2 linked regions of the Xenopus tropicalis genome follow. The protein of the gene in region 2 purifies or fractionates together with the protein of the main gene of each other region. This does not show direct contact. Links are inferred from orthologs where the notes say so. Each region holds a gene or a part of one and is shown on either strand. Other genes may lie near its edges.

Evidence for each region.
Region 1: the proteins of cttnbp2nl (region 2) and stk24 purify together in Homo sapiens (affinity purification with mass spectrometry; 3 studies listed by BioGRID and IntAct, with this or other methods). This does not show direct contact. The link is inferred for Xenopus tropicalis from reciprocal best matches to the Homo sapiens genes CTTNBP2NL and STK24.

Annotation. Positions count from the first base shown.
Region 1 is NC_030678.2:121,393,915-121,402,469, forward strand, and holds part of stk24 (serine/threonine-protein kinase 24), read left to right. Parts: intron 1-1,232; coding exon 1,233-1,341; intron 1,342-2,955; coding exon 2,956-3,113; intron 3,114-3,866; coding exon 3,867-4,052; intron 4,053-5,388; coding exon 5,389-5,531; intron 5,532-6,543; coding exon 6,544-6,649; intron 6,650-7,127; coding exon 7,128-7,196; intron 7,197-7,569; coding exon 7,570-7,706; intron 7,707-8,555. UniProt on the Homo sapiens protein: Serine/threonine-protein kinase that acts on both serine and threonine residues and promotes apoptosis in response to stress stimuli and caspase activation.
Region 2 is NC_030678.2:60,443,107-60,452,191, reverse strand, and holds the start of cttnbp2nl (CTTNBP2 N-terminal-like protein), read right to left. Parts: upstream 5,721-9,085; 5' UTR 5,255-5,720; intron 1-5,254. UniProt on the Homo sapiens protein: Regulates lamellipodial actin dynamics in a CTTN-dependent manner. Associates with core striatin-interacting phosphatase and kinase (STRIPAK) complex to form CTTNBP2NL-STRIPAK complexes.

The sequences.
Region 1 (8,555 bases), about 61 Mb from region 2:
CGGCGAGGCGATTTCCGGAAATCGCCGAAAAAGACTCGCCGCCGCCGCGTCTGCCATCCCGCCGGCGACTTACATGTTCGCCGGTGGGATGGCAGGGGTAGGCAACTCGGGGAGATTAGTCGCCCGCGAACAGGGAGTTAATCGCGGGCGACTAATCTCCCCCGTATGCCAGAGCCCTAAGTGTAGGGATGGGTTGTCGGCTTGTTCTTATCTGCAGGCTTACAGTCCGCCCTGTGTGACCTTTCCCTAAGATTGTCACACTTCCCCATTCAGCTGTGGGTTAGTATTCCAGATTAAAACCAACTTCTGTTTTGTGAATTATTCACCCCCCAATAATATCTCTACAGCCCCCCTTTTAATTACACTTTGTATTTGTGAACTGTATATATGAACTCCTGAACAGGGTAGTGCTTAAAGGTGATAGCACACATGGAGATTTGTCGTCTGTAGTTAAATCTTTGCTACCGCAGACGCCATGTCTACGATAAAAGACCTTCTATAGCATAACATTAAAGGGGACCTGTCACCCCAAGACATAACTCCAAATTATTTTTGTTACTTGAGCAAAATAAATGTTACTTATGCTATATAAATAATATAAATCTTGTTTCCTTCCGTCTTGGAATTACTCAATCAAAGCAAGCAGGTAGGCACGATTTTGTGGACACTGTTATGAAGGCAAACTTTGTATCATGTCAAAATCTTGTTTATGTGCCAGAATGGGGGACCTGATGCCCATGCCCATGCACTGGCTACACAATTAGATGAGGAGGAGGGAGGGGGAAAGTGAGATGTGCAGTGACATCTAGGAAGTGCTGAATGGAAAGCTAAAGTTATTGTCTGCCCCGCCTCTATGCCTAAGGCATAGAGGCGAGGCAAGCAATATATGATTGACAGCTGGGATTTTTGAATGCCTTTATAATGGGTTTGGATGTGTTAATATAAAAATGAATTTGGGTTTCATGTTTAATTTGAACAGGACTTTTATTATACAGCTTTTTATGTCTGGGTGACAGGTCCACTTTAAGATCATCGCACGTAAAACCTATTCCGCTCTGTGATCTGGAATAAATGTGGGAAAAAGCCAGGTTGCTGTGAGTAATTAGGTTTCACTTGCGGCGATCTAACAATGGGCGAGATCTTCTCGTGTGCCATCACCCTTAAGCACTACCCTAACAATCCCTCAGTAAGTTCCATCACCCTAACCAACATTTTCTCTTCCCTCCTGGCAGTTAGAACCTGGTCCTTTAGATGAAACACAGATTGCAACCATTTTACGGGAAATCTTAAAGGGACTTGACTACTTGCATTCAGAGAAGAAAATTCACAGGGATATTAAAGGTAGGTCATTCCTTTTTCGTTATTCTGTCTGTTGTTGGAACTCTGTCTTCATATTCCTCTTTGTATCAAAATAATAGAAGAATGGGGATTATATTCCTTCTGCAGGGTTTACCATTCCATGCAGGTGTTGCAAATGAAATATGGCCATACATGGGCTGACAAAAGCTGTTGACAGACAGAGTAGGCAGGCATTCAGCCCGTGTGGGTCCTTTTGAAGGGCCTGCCCAATCAAAAATCGGGTAGATGTTAATTGGGCAGGTTCGATTTTCCGTCAGGTTGAGGGTATCTGTTGGCATCTGGACTGCATAATGGCCATTATGATCTGGTCGATTGGCCCTCGGGATGGGCATACTGCGTCAGGGGAAAGAACCATTCATTTGGTGACCTGGCCAAATGAGTGAATCTTTTAACTTACTTGCTGATTCTGCCATATTAATAGAATTGCTTAGCAAATGAAATGGATAAATTGTCTTATGTTATATGGAGCCTGAACTGGGGATTCATTTGCATAGTATTTGAAGCACGTTTGAAAAGAGTTCAGTTGGTTTGATTGTTTATTTTGTATGTGTTTCGAATGATACAAGATTTTATTCTGCATAGATCCAGCTTGCAGCAAAAAATTTCTTTAATGGTTTTTATTTTTTTATTGCTTTTTTGTAGAACAAAAAAGTATTTAAAAAATCATAAATAATAAATAAATGAAGACAGTGCTGATGTTCACTTTTTACAAAGCCCCATCAGAGTGCTGGGAATGCAAAAGAAGAACTTTACCCATTATAATGAATTTTTTAAAATGCTTCCTTTATTAATTAAAATGAGGCGCTTACCCAGTTAGAGATCAGCGAGACCGCCAGAGGAAAAGAGAGAGCACAAAAGCTTTTCCTTGAGTGGTACTGCACATGCGCAAGCTCTCATCTTTCTTATGCAGATTAATCTGTTGGCTGCTGCAGCTAACAATAGGCCACACATGTACGGAAACGATTAACTTGCTTTTCAACTGAGAATACTCCTAACTCCCTGCTGCCAATGTTTGCGTGCAGGTGGTGGGTGAGAGGTTGGCGACCCCTTCATCCAGAGGGGCATCACATTGTTGATAAAATGGTAAAAACTATATAGAATAAAATTAATTTTTAAAAAAAAGAATTTTTTGTCTTGCATAGGTGTTTCAGAACCCTTTGAAATTCAGCCAGAAAGTCTGTTGGTCAGGATGTGTTTAAAGCTTAGGTTTTACATGCAGGTTTGTTGCAGCAACTTGGCCTTCTGCATAAACAAACTTTGCTGAGCATTATTATGCAGCTGCTACACTGACACAGTCTTGCTAGACCTTTAAGAATTTGTTCATATTGTGCACGGTTGATTTAAGAATTATGTACAGGACACTTACAGATCTATGAATATATAAATAAGCCTGAGTGTTTAACCCTAAATTTGTCCTGTTCTTTCATCATCAGAAATCATGGCAATCATAACTATACAAAGGAAGTGCCCAAAGCAGTGCAGCATTAACTCAGACGCATAAGTGTATTACACATTTCCGTATTGTTACCATAAATTGCAGTTGTGTTTGGCAGATAAATGGATTCTTTATGTTGGAATGTTTTTGCTCTTTTCCAGCTGCCAATGTGCTGTTATCTGAACACGGGGAGGTGAAATTAGCTGACTTTGGTGTTGCAGGACAACTTACTGACACACAGATCAAAAGGAACACCTTTGTTGGAACTCCATTCTGGATGGCACCAGAAGTTATAAAGCAGTCTGCATATGATTCCAAGGTAAGAGAAGAAGGTCAGCGCTGGTCCATGGCTGGTTTTCCATGCTTGCTAGTGAACATAGAGAACACAGAGAATTTACGCCACAAAGAAATAGTGTATGTGGAAAATGGAGGAGGATGTGTAGATAATTAGATGCAAAAGTGGCTACTGGAGCAATTTCTCTTGTCGCAAAATCATTTTTGTGTTTTATTAGCAAAGATTCACAGGAGAAATTTCAACTGGAGAAAAGATATGAATTCTCACCAGTGTAAAGAGAATATTTACCAGTACAAAGTTTATTAAGAGAAACTTGTAATCTCCTGTTAGAAAATTGGTGAATTTTCATTTTTGGTGAAATTGCTCAAAATTTTGCTTTCACTCTTTAGTAAATATGCCCCACTGTCGGGAGCTTGGAACTACTGCACACATGCAAGTCACAGGCCCACCTTGCTGGCATGTTGCATATGCAGAGGGGAGGATTGGATAAGGCAACATCACTATTATGCCATGGTTACTTTTTCGATTTGGTTGTTGTTGTTTTTCTTCCTCATCACCAGAAACTCCTATAAATCATAAGATCAGTGTGTACTTTATGTGCCCTTTGCAGTGAAATTCAGCCTTGTACTCTTAACATACTTTAGATAAAGAGATCAGTGACAGTTCCTGCGTGTGCCATCGCTGAATTATCTAAATTTTTGAATTAAAAGAGAAAATCTACATGTCTTGTTGCAGCTGCTATGGGTTTCTATCCTTATGCGTTTATTTTACATACAGGCAGATATCTGGTCCCTGGGCATAACTGCTATTGAACTGGCAAAAGGAGAGCCTCCTCACTCAGAGCTACATCCCATGAAAGTCTTGTTCCTTATACCCAAGAACAATCCTCCCACACTGGAAGGGAACTACAGCAAGGGTCTGAAGGAGTTTGTAGAAGCCTGCTTAAACAAGGAGCCCAGTTTTGTAAGTCTGCTGCAATACAGCGCCAATGTTGGACCTTAAATGCTTGTATATAATATTTTCTTAGCCTTTAGACCAGGGATTAGTTTCGAATTATATTATCTAACAGACAGTTGAGAGCATTCTTTACGACCAAGGCTTTATTGATCTTACATAGGGGATTTTTGTGACCCTTTATAACTTTGATTGCTTGACTTTTGTATGCCTTATGTGACACTCGTGCACCTAGGCTTCAGATTGCACTGTGCTGCAGGATCTCTCAGGTAGCAGGCGAGTGTCACCAAGAAGATCCAGGCCACCTGCATTAACTTGTAACATCCACTGGGTCAATAACTTGTGAAAGCAGCTATCCTGATGTTCTCTCTTTGTTGTGTAGAGCTCAATATATTGGCGACTTTCCTCTGCTTTTAATTACTAAAGGGAAAACTGCCCTTGGAGGCATTGGATCTGTTGATTTTCTTACCCCAGTGAAGTATATGCCATAATATTAATACATTTAGCAAACAGGACAGGATCAGCTATGTTCTTAATCCCAGTTCCCTCAAGTTCACAAGCAGCAGCACTGTCTTTATTATGGGTTGATTGATGCTTTCACTTTAGGATTACTAAAGTAATAATTGTACATATCACTCTGCTCCCTGGACTTTTATAGTATCTTTGTAAGGAAACCAGCCCCTTTCACATAAAGCCTAAAATTGTTGGGGGTCAAATGTAGCTTCTGAACTGCCTGATAGCTATGTGGTAGCTGAGCTTCAAGGGAAGCGGCTAGGATTCCTTATTGTGAACTCTGCAATCAGCTTGCATTTAATGTCCTCTTTAAAGTAGAGACTTCTCTTGGCAGCTATGTGCAGCACCTACATTCATATTAATACCGGGAGGATTCATGACTTGCACACATTATGCCATAAAGTAACTTTGTGTCCCTTTGGAGTCAATACACATTGCTATATATTGCAGTGGTAACTCCTACAGGTTGATCTGTTTTATGATATATCAACACTTTTTTCTGGCCGATAACATTATACTGATTGGTAAAATGTATTGACAGTTAGCGTGCTGGCCTGTCAGTTAAAAATGTGTATAATGATTTGTAAAGTAAAAGCACAGAAAGTGGTCTCTTGGACTGAAGGTTAAAGAAAACCTAAATCAAAAGTAAACAGCTTGACCTTCTTACTGAAGATATGGACTCCCACATAGAGATCATGGGGTTTCTGCTAAATGACAAATACTTGGGAGTGGCCGGCTCATAAAACTAGCTGATATCTTTTGTTATACATAACTTATTGCTTGAACCTGTTCTAAATGGAAATATATGAACAATTTTTTTAACCTCTGCCAGAGACCCTCAGCTAAGGAACTGCTGAAACACAAGTTTATTATGCGAAGTGCAAAGAAAACCTCCTACTTAACAGAGCTCATAGACAGATACAAGAGATGGAAGATAGAACAGGGCCATGAAGCCTCCAGCTCAGACTCTGAGGAGTAAGTACCAATGAAATGACTTTGCTAGTGGTTTGGCTTACTTGTATGTAAGGTCAAAGCACTATTAATATTATAATAAGCCACTTCTTGCTCTTCTACATATCTGTGTTCAGCGGCACTAACTCTGTGTCGCTTCCTGAATTGCGTACATTGATGTAGGAAACCCTGAAGCTGCTGTCCCCTTCAAGGGTGCAGTAACCGCAGTGTTCCCATAGTGGCCTGTGTCATTTGATGCAGTGGACTTGCACCTAAAGAATCAGGGCACAGCCATTGTTTTAAAGCAGAGCCCCACCAATGTTGACATCTGAACCCAAAAGATTCTCAGCGCAAGTGTGTCTGATTCACATTGAACTGTACATGCAAAAATATGGCTTGTGCTCAAAATAAGCCCTTTTGTGTTCCTTCTGATGGTGTTTTCATTTAGAATGTGGGATTTATAAAGCAAGAATTGGAAATAGAAACAAAATGGAGTTACCACATGTACAGTGTAGTTGCCTTTGGAAGTGACTCCATCCCCAATGATTATTTCCAAATTTACTTCAGCATTAACTCTGGTGCCTCAGCTCATTAACACTCAATGAATTCCTCCTTTGACCCCATCCTACTGTTCAGTAATAATGAAATGAAATAAGTTGATGGCTTAAAAATACTCCAGAGCTGATCATTTTGTGTTAATACATATGTTTTTTGCTGCTTGCAAAGTAGTGGTTATCTTGGGTCAGCATTTGCTGCTCTGGGGGCTTCTGCAAGCAGTTTCAGTTGTCCCTGACAGCAGTGCAGACTGAGTGTCAAATCCTGGGGATAAGAGAAACTGGTAGAGAGACTGGTTGGGTATGCCAGTAGGAATTACAAATGCAGCTGCAAGCTAATCACCTTTTCTAAAACTGTGTGTGTTCTATGAAAAAATTGAAATAATTATAGTAATACAGGGGAAAATTGATCAGGCATAGAGTGCAGGTTCAGTAATAAGAAATAAACCTTGTATATATGTCTGCCTTTGCCCACTGTAAAGGGAAGAAGTAGATCAAGCTGCTGGCAGCGAGAAGGATTATTGGAACTTCACAAGAAGAAAGAGAGACTTGAAGAACTTGGAGCCCATTCCTGCACAGCCAGAAGAGGTAAGGCATAAAGTCTGAGTCACAAGAAAAGTTCCTATTGTCCAGCCATTATACTACAGTTTATATTAATATGAACCAATGACTTATAATGGTAAGTGCTTGCTACACTCCCCAGCCTTGCTTGATATGGGAAAAACATACACTGCCTATTACTTTAAATCTTATAATAAAGTAAGTGCTTAACAATGTCTCCCTCCGATGCTTTTAGGAGTAGTCAAGGCAGCATAATCCCTGTCTTTTTCATTTATTATTATAGCATTAATTGTATTGATGGCAGTAAGAGTCATGTTCTTTAAATGAACAAGAATGGAAAGGGTTATGTGCAGTACTCACCGTCCTCACTTCTCTTTGCTTGTATGTATATATGCTGTATATTAAGAAATATGAATTTTGTCTCTTTTAAATTAAAATAATCATTCTTCTAAAATGTCTGCTTACTGACGAATACTGATTTATTTTTTTTTACATTACATTTAAGGTTAAAGACATTCCCAAACGGCCATTGTCTCAGTGCTTATCTACAATTATGTCTCCTTTATTTGCAGAGGTAGGTACATTTTGTCTATTCTTTGGCTCATTCTTGTTTTAATGAGCAGCTGCCCCTAAGGGTAAGACTGATGCCACATGGGGCTGATTCTCGGCTTGTTGAAAAATGCAGACCAAGAATCGGCACCCTTCGCTGGTATCAGCTGCCTTCTTTGCCTTCACCTGGAGCCATTGTGTTGCCCAGGGTGCAGGCACATGCAGGAGATATTGGTAAAGAAATGCCGCATGTGCCCAGACTCGCACATTTGTTCTGGGTGCAGCCAAAGAAGAAGGCTGATGCCAGCTTAGGGGCTAATTCTCAGACTTTCCCACAGACCGAGAATCATCCCAGTGTGGCATTAGCCTTAGACTTTTGCATTTTTTTCTACTTTCAGCTGAAGGAGAAGAGTCAAGCGTGTGGCGGGAACGTAGGCTCAATAGAGGAACTGAGAGAGGCAATTTATTTAGCTGAAGAGGCCTGTCCGGGTATCTCGGACTCCATGGTATCACAGCTTCTTATTAGGCTTCAGAGGTGAGAACTAACATTTTGCATGGATTTGTTTCTTGCTGATCACATATATCAATGTGTGCGTGAGTGTTGTGTATTTCACCGTGACCTGGTTCTGCATAGCAATAGTTTCAATTTAGTATTTACCACTTGTTTTGCCACCGGGACACCACACAGTAATAGAGAAAAGACAATTTAGTTGGTTAAGGAGTCAAATTTCACACAATTTAATTCAAAGCTTTATACTTAAATGAAACCTTTGGAGCACACAATAACCCAGACAGTAATTTAACTTAATTGTTTCCTTTGGAGAGAGTGGGACCTACCTAGATTGGATTTGGTATGCCGAATGCTTGGAACTTTTTTTTCTTTGCTTCTGTCTCTTGCTCTAAGGCTAAAATATACTAAAATGATATAGTATATGTGACCCCCCCCCCCCCCCCCCCCAAACTTGTAGGCAATAATGAATAATATGTGGTGCAGATTTCACTCAGGGCTAAAAATGATCATTATCTTTAAAAAATGGCCCCTTTTATTGGAGCTCCCTGTAGATTTGCCCTCTCCTTGTTTCAAATAAGGTGTACCAGAAGCACAGTAGAAGCGGGATAGCCAATCACAGCCCTGCAGTCACACACACAATGGCAGGTTTCAGGTCCTTATCAGTTACACCTAGCTGCTGATTGGTTCCTGTCCTACAATGCAGTGTGCTAAGTGCTTCTGGTTCCTTTGCACAGCCTGGGAAAGGAGGCAGTAGGAAGTGAAACAGATGGGTGGGACTGTTTTTGGAGAACTTTTCAATAAATCAGCCTTGCAACACTTATTTTTAAAGCACATTTCTTCTATGTTTAGAGGAGTATAATGCAGTGGCACATT
Region 2 (9,085 bases):
GTCAGTATTGGGATCCAATGAGTTAATGTGCTCTGCAAATAAAATTTCTCCCCATTCAGACCAGTCACACAGCCTTGTGCCCAATAAAGGAAACAATTAGTTAGTATCCAATAAGTTTAAAAAAAAATGGAATGTTGAACTAGTAGTAAGTGATAAATTTAGTTGCCAGTGCTCATAAAATACCCACTAACTGTTCTTTGCTGGAGGGTCTGTTACATGAAAAGTGCTGTTTGTTCTGGCTCATAGTGGAACAAGATGCTTACCTCAATATGAAATAAAAGGCATAAAGTTTGCCCACATGCAGTACATCATGGTAACCAACAAAATGCTTGCATTTTTTTGCATCTGTTTTCATAAAACCTCCTTTGTTTTGTGTTAACAAACACCAGACCTGCCATTTATTTTTCATTCCTATATGCGTTTCTGTGATCACTCAGGGCCCCTATGCCTTGTGTTGTTGCTCTCCCATTGCTCTATTTTTTTTTAGCTTCTACACAAACCCTCTCCTTCACATTTCAACATTTGGTCAGCCACCCCACCACCTTGGTCACAAGGTTGTATTGTATATATATATACAAACACTACCACAACAATTACTGGTAAGGTACTATTATGTGTATTGTGGGCACACCACATTATTTAGCTGCTCATGGCACTGTAGCCATTGAGGTGCCACAGGATTTATTTTTAAAGCAATAGGAAGACAGCGTGGGCGCCACACAAGTTTGATACCTGAACAGATAGAGATAAGCCATGCTAACTAGGCCAATGTCCATTTGAAGCACTGAGCAGCTAAATTAAAAAAGGGGAAGCACAAGTGCACATAATCCTTCGAGAAAGCAGCCTAAATCTCTTTCTAATGTGACCATGCTAGACCACCACATCCTGCCAGCCATGCAGTTTGAAAATGAGTTACATAATGCCTCAGCATCAATCAATCAGAAAAGATTTGATTCTGAACTATGCTGTTTCTGAACAGATTGGAAATCTGCATTTTACTTAACTCATTAATTCTATTTTGTAGCCGATAATCTTTTGGTCTTTGACAATATCAGCACAAACCATGCAATTATAAGAAAGGAATAAGAGTAGTAAATGCCCATTCACTGGCTATGCTTTCGTGGCATGCTGACCACGAACCTACAACTAGCCATACATGTGAATTGCCTCATTGTATTGTTCAGAACTGCAGGAAGTGTAGAGGATCTGCTGTTCCTCTTTACTTCCTCATCTGTGGATGCACAATGCACTCACCAACGCTGTGCAGTGAAACCACAGTTGTAACCTGGGCATGTATGAACACCCTAAAAATTCAAAAATCTAAAACTGTAAAATACAACAAATTTATTCCGAAATGTTTATTTTGTGGTTAGACAGTTCCAAAAATCTGAGGCATAATTTTAGTGTTTTCTCGGTGCATGTGACAATCAAAAGCCACTTGTTCTGGGCTTCACTACAGGAAGATAGGCGAAGAGAATGTTAATAAATAGTTTACTTTTGCATACAATATCCATGAATTACTACATGTACATCTACTGTAAATTTTAGAGGTTCCCAACAAATTCTCTCTGTATCACACATGCCAGTTCTACACAAATACTTGAGAGTCAACAAGACAGCATAAAAGTGGTTGTACAATGGCTCAAGGTCTAGAAGAGATTATTCAGGGTATTTTTATAAGCACAACAAAATGTTCAAAGCTGACCACCTAATAGTGAAGGTGTAAGGCTAATGACACAAGGACTTTTTTTGACTACCATAGTCCTTTCATGGAGAAACACCTTGTCTATGGCAGGCTCTAGTGCTGCCACTTCAGTACCAGTGTCTATTATAAGCAACATGTTTGCCATTCAAGTGGCTGCGGCCAGCAATGGCTGTTTAATCACTGTGTGGAATACATTTCCCATAAACAAAACATGTATTAAATGTGTCAATATAACTTTATCCTTTTTTTTAGTGCCCCTCTGGTTCCCCATTACGGACCCATGCTGCAGCTCCAGTACCCAGGGACACCTGCCTTTGTAATTTCATTTTGTGCATATTAAGCTTTCTTTAATTCAATTTTGCACTCAACTTCTGCCCATTATTTCTCAGCAGACAATGTTGCGCTTGCAGGATCGGCCAAATTCTTGATAGGATGAGGATAAATAGTTACATAGGGTTGAAAAGAGAGTCCATCAAGTTCAACCCTTCTAAGTACACCCAGCACACACTAGCCTATCTATACACTCACATACATAAACTATATATGCAAACATCAATGCTAACTGTACATATTAGTATCACAATAGCCTTGGATACTATGCTTGTTCAAGAACTCATTCAGGCCCCTCTTAAAAGCATTAACAGAATCTGCCATCACAACATCACTAGGAAGGGCATTCCACAACCTCACTGCCCTCACCGTGAAAAACCACCTACGCTGCATCAAATGGAAGCTCCGTTCCTCTAATCTAAATGGGTGACCTCTGGTGCCCCTTTTTTCCAGAGGAAACAACCCCAACCTTAACAGTCTAACCTCACAGTTTAAATCTTCCATCCCCATTACCAGTTTAGTTGCACATCTCTGCACTCTCTTTTTAAGAACTTGAGCCCAAAACTGCACTGCATACTCAAGGTGAGGCCTTACCAGGGACCTATAAAGAGGCAAAATTATGTTTTCATCCCTTGAGTCAATGCTCTTTTGGAGCTCTGCTGGAATTAAGGATACCCCCAACAAACTGCCATTTAGTAGATAGCTTGCGTTTATATTATTTCTATTGCATAACTTTGCACTTGTCCACACTGAACCTCATTACATGTATAAATATAAACAATGCCTCAGCCTATCAGGGCTTTCCAATGCACTCCAAGTGCAGTGTCAATTGCTATGGCATCATGGACAGAAGCTGTGTCAGTGACCAATACATGTCTCTAATGGGTTGCGCAGTGAGGAAGAAGGGTACAGGGGTTTGTGGGAGGCAGCTGGATAGTTTATTAAAAGGATAAATGAACACTTCTAGTAAATGTGGAAAAGTGTCAATATCCCTTTAACAGTTAAATTTAGTTTAACATATGTCCAAAGCTGTTTGAAACCTCACATATATGAATGAAAAGGCAAAACTTTTGTTTTTCACAAGACTTGAAAATCAGATCTGACTTCATACACATAAACAGAAATCACAGCCACTGACTTCTATTAAAGTTCATTGCAATTTCTGGGTGTGAGATTACATAAAAAAAGGTTTAGTATGCACATAAAATATGCAAATGCACACTCTGAAATCACATCTGACACATGAGGGCTGATTCACTAAAGTGCGATAAAACGTGCGCTATTTATAGCGTGCGTTAAAAATTTTATCACGTCTAAATTTTCGCGACTTATCGCACGATTCACTATAAGCATACTTGCGCTAATTTACGCGCGATATTGCATGCGTTATTTAACTCGCAAAGACTAATTTCGTTCGGTATTTGACGGTACATGCGCTAATTAACACCCGCGTATAGTCGCCACAAATAGATAGTAGCCGCATATGAATTGTCGCCACATATAAATGGTAGCATATAATTAGTAGCTGCTTATAAATAGTAACTGCTCTGTTCCGCTTATCTTTAGCGAAAAATTTGCAATGTCGTGCGGGCAAAAAAATTGTTGCCCGCGACTATTTATATGCGGCTACAATTGATGAAATGTTTCGCCAGGCATGGATTCGTGGCGAATTTTTGGACGTGCGGCGAATTTTTCCACGGGGAATTTTTTCATGCGTTTCGCAAAACAATCCGCCAATGGCAAAACGCATGAAAAAATTTGCCGCGAAAAAAATTGTCGCACGTCCAAAAATTCGCCTGGCGAAACATTTCATCAATTGTAGCCGCATATAAATAGTCGCGTGAAGAAACGCACGCCATGTTAGCCATACATGCCAATACTTTCGTAAAATTACTGTATTAAAAATGACCATTTCCCTGCAAACTGGAGGCTGCGTCACTCTAGGGCCAACACATACTTGAATAAATAGCATTGCAAAGTCCATATTTTATTGCCAAAAGCTCATTTACTGTACTTTTCTATAATTATCGCCTGCCTCCAGTAGGTGTTATTTTTCGCATAGCCTAATGCGATATTTAGCGCGCCTAAGTGATTGTGAATCATGCGTTTGTATTCTTTTCAGCGCGCTATTTAACGCATGCGGTTGCGCAAAAAATAACGCATGCGATACGCGACTTAACGCACATGGTAATACTGTAGTAAATCGCGCGCTAATTTTCGCGTCTATTTTAACGCAAAAAAAGTGCGATAAAATTTATCGCACTTTAGTGAATCAGCCCTGTGGTGTTGCAGTGGGTAATACTGCATATTTGCCCTGCTGGGGTCCAGGATTCGATTTCAAGGCTTTTTGTTCATCCCATGTCTATGTGGGATTTCTCTCAGTTTAAATACATAAAGGTAGTCTAATTGGCTCCTCATGCAACTGACATTAACCTGCTTGTATAATTTTGGAGCGTAACAGGAAATCTGATTACCCAAAGAAACTCACTCAGACATGGGGAGAGCATGCAAACTTGAGCTAGTGCCCAGGCAGATACATTTTCTGATATTTACATTAAGACAGAAAAATGTATTATAGAGGGTGCTATACTTTAAAGTCATTGTAATTTACTCCAAACTTCTGAAAAGTCATTAAACAGTGGAAATATTTGGTAAAATAAAATAATAATAATTCTGAACGAACGCATTAGAATAATATGTAATCCAGTAATTTTTACAAACACATCTGAGTATTAAAGCAGTTTGCAGCCCTATATTGTATGCAGTATGATTTCAATGAGCCTGCTGGGAACTGTAGTCCAAGTTGGAGGGCCAGGTTGGCTAGTTGTTACAGGCACCTAACATGACAATATAGAACAGCAATCTCTGCTTTAAAGCACCAGCGGTCCAATCAGAAAAATAAGAATTAAACCAACTTGCATTTTTGTAACAATACATCTTTGTTTTGGTTTTAAATTCATCTACCCAGTCAGGCTCACAAGCAGCACAAAGACAAAGTAGCAGCAGCAGTTCCAATGCAGAGTGTAAGGATGTGCAGTGTCTGAGCACCACCATCCAGCAGCACGGTATTGAAGCACAGCTGTACAGAGCAGCCTTGAGAGGCCCCCTTGGAACAAAAACGCTGCCTGATGCCTTCCAACCAGTTAGTACTCCACGGGCCCACCCAAACCCCACTCAAAAGCGTCCCGACACTCGTGGAAATAAGATTTTGTCACTTACACTTCTCCTCCTTTGTTGCAGAACAGGACACAATCAGGCAGACTGCAAGGAAGGTTTCCTCCCAACTCTATTCATTGAGGACAGCCCTCTCCTTTTCAGAGCACCATGTAAACAGGCAGCGGATTGGTTCTCCTGGTCACCCTTAGGGATTGGGCTGCTGATGGGATAGGCTGCGTTCATTGCACTCAGCCAAGCCTTGCTCGGTACAGTCTCTGCCAGACTGTGGGCTGGAAAGAGGCTACTGGCAGGGGAGAGGAACAGTGTGACTAAAACTAATGTGTCCTCCCTGCGGCAGCTAGTTCCTAATGTATAAAGGAACTGTATACCTTTTAAGTCGATGAACTAGTTGGAAGAAAAATAGCGAATGTTTACGCTATACCGCAGATAGTATTATGGTTAATAGTGTGAATGAAGCCCAAATAGGGCTGAAATGAAGTTAGGCTGGGACCCCTTCCCCCTTTAGCCATATGGTCATTCAGGCAGGGCCTGCTCCCTCCCCCGGCCAGCTCCAGGTAGAACAATAGAAGGATGAGCAGTGGAGGGAAAGAGAGGGGTGGGCTAGGGGAGGGGACTTAGGCAGAGCAAGGTATGTAATGGGATGTATGTTTGTTAAGGCCACATTCTTACTTGTTTCTTGTTTCAGGATCGGTGCCCGTGGAGGATTTGGCAGAGTCTGGATCAGCAGCAGGCATCAGTCAGCAGAAGTGATTTTCGCTTGAATAATGCAGACCTCCCAACTGTCCCGTTTTACGCGGGACAGTCCCGATTTTGCCACCCTGTCCCACTGTCCCGGATAGGCGCGGATCTGTCCCGCTTTTTAAAGGTCTCCGCTCCCGTGACGTCACACGCATGTCTCCCCTTAGCGCCGCAGCTTCTGCACCGCTCACTTCAGTTTTAACAAAAAGCCATTCACAGTGCAGAAGCTGCGGCGCTAAGGGGAGACGTGCGTGTGACGTCACAAGGATGAGAAGAAGAGCCCTGGGGCGCAGCCGAGGAAGCTGGTGGTAGGAGCAGGGGGATGCTGGGGAGGACACTGGAGGAAGGTAAGGGGCAGCTGGAGGATGTTGGGGAGGATGTTGGGGGGGCTGAAGGATGTTGGGGGGAGCTGAAGGATATTGGGGAGGATGTTGGGGGGAGCTGGAGGATGTTGGGGGGGCTGAAGTATGTTGGGGAGGATGTTGGGGAGCTGAAGGATGTTGGGGGGAACTGAAGGATGTTGGGGGAAACTGAAGGATGTTGGGGAGGATGTTGGGGGAGCTGAAGGATGTTGGGGGGAAATGAAGGATGTTGGGGGGGCTGAAGGATGTTGGGGGGAGCTGAAGGATGTTGGGGAGGATGCTGGGGGGAGCTGGAGGATGTTGGGTGGATTCTGCAGTGGGGAGCAGCCCATAGTAGGGGGACACTGGGGGAGGACCAGCAATGTTTTAGGGGGTCCCTGCTCTAGCGCCAATGCAAAACATAACACCTGGCTACCAATGTCTGTCATGAGTCTGTCATTAAATACAGGTGCCACAGTGCATAATGAAATCCTTAGGGCCACAATATGTCATAAAATGATTGGGGCCACCGTGTCTGTCTTCTGGTGCACTTTGTATATGTTATGCTTTTCAGGTGTGGTTTTGTAAAATGGGCCTGTTTGGGGGGGGGGGCGTGGCCATAAAGTGGGCATGACCTAAAAAATTTTGCCGTGGCAGACATTTTTGTCCCTCCTTCTGATTTTCAAATGTTGGGAGGTATGATAATGGACGCCATTGGTGCAGGAGTGGAATTGCCCAGGAGGAAGATCCTTCGGCCAAAAAGGTTCCGGGATGGAGGGGAGCAGGGGGAGTTGTTGTTAGGAACCACGCGGAAGAGGAAGGTGAGGTATCTTTTGCAGGAGGAGAGGAACTCCAAACGTCCGGTGCTGGGGAAAAGGCCGGAAGAAGGCTGCCACTGTCACCAACGCAAACCACGAAAGGGTCGCAAGGGGTGGAGTTAGGGATGTGGGTAGCGATCAGACCACATCGGGAGAAGGCAATAGAAAAAGGATTGCAATACAAGAATGTATCATTACAAAAGAATAAATTGTTGATTTATATTAGTAGGTTGAAGACAGATCAAATGGGTAAAGGAAAATGGGTAAGTATACAGGGAACAGGGGAAGTATCATACCCAGTAAAGCTGTTAAGGGAATACATGGCGATGCGTCCGGAGGGGGGGCAGCTATTGTTGTTGCATAAAGATGGTTCCCCTCTTTCAGCCTTTCAGTTTAGGCAAGTTCTGAAGAAGGCGGTGATCGATAATGGTTGGGCCCCAAAGAAGTTTGGAACCCACTCTTTTAGAATCTGCGCAGCAACTGAAGCTGCAATGGGGGGTGGTAGAAGTGACAAGATAAAAGCATTGGGTAGATGGAAGTCGAGGGTATACAAGAAGTATATAAGGCCTGTAAATAACACAAGTGAGAAGTCTTAACCAAAGTTTTTTGTTTGTTTTTTGTCGCAGTAGGAGGTGCAACGGCTTGCAACATTTTGATATTGGGGCATTCTTTTATTTTCTGGGCATCTGAGCACACAGGGGTTGCATGTCAACAGATTGTTTTGCTGAAGGAACACATGAAGATCACTGAGGCATTGCGCCCACGTTGGTTTTTTGGAGACACAATAGTTTTTGTGTTTGGAAATAAGAGCCGCAGCTGTGGTCAGGGTGTACCTATATATAATTTTTATGGTTTCAATTAATAAAAGCCTGTGACCTCCACAGAATTTGCCACATTATGTCTCACTGTGGGGCCACTAGGTATAGTATGTGGCTGTGTTGGGAGATGCCAGTCACTATTTAGTGGGTCTCTGGGGGATTTACCTCTGCAAACTTGAAGTGCAAAGGCAACTTGTCCAGGCCTGTGGGAACCCTATGGGGTTGTGGCAGTGTGTGAACCTTATGTAATTTCATGGCTATAGAGGGTTAGGACAGTGTGGTGATTTGGGGGTAGTTTGTGGATTTGCTATGTAAGTTTGTAGCCAGTTTGTGGTTGGGGCTGTGTAAACCCATAGGCATGTGTATGCCCATGCTTTTTGGCAATGTGAAGGGCCCCAATGTAAGTTTCTGGCCAAGGGTGTGGTGCAGTATTTAGGGACAATAGGTAGGTGTATTGCCATAGGGAAGCATTGGGCTGTGTGAGCCCCCTTGGTATGTTTATGGGCGTGGGTTGAAATTGTGTGCTGGAACACTAGGTAGGTGGCAGTATTTAGGGCAGTATTTAGGGTAATAAATATATGTATGACCATATGGGAAGTTGGGCCCATGTGGGCACCCCAGATATCTTTATGGATGGTGGCAATGCAGGATTGAGCCAGTGTGCTGGGACCCTAGTATGTGTTTGACTGTAATAGTGCTAGGGCAAAACTGTGGGGCCTATAGTATGTATGACCATAGGGAAGGTTTGGGCAGTGTGAGATATTTTTATGGTCATAATGGGGTCATACACACTACCTAGGGGTCCTACACTGCCCCAACATCTCCCCCCCATGGACATGAGCCTGCATAGGGTCCTCATCTACTGCCCAACCCCCCCCACACTGTAATATACACAAATATATCTAGGGACCTCACACACTGCCCTAACCCCTCACAGCCTTTTACATACTTAAGGAAACTCCCAAACACTGCCCTAAGCCACCCCACAGCCATACACATACAGCTGAGCCTCACACACTGCCCCAACACCCACAGCAATACACATAGTTCCCCAACTCCCACTGGCCATAAATCTATATAGTGCCCCCCCCCATGGACATACACATACCAAGGAACACAACACACTAGCATGATCATGGCTCACTGTCCCAACTCCCT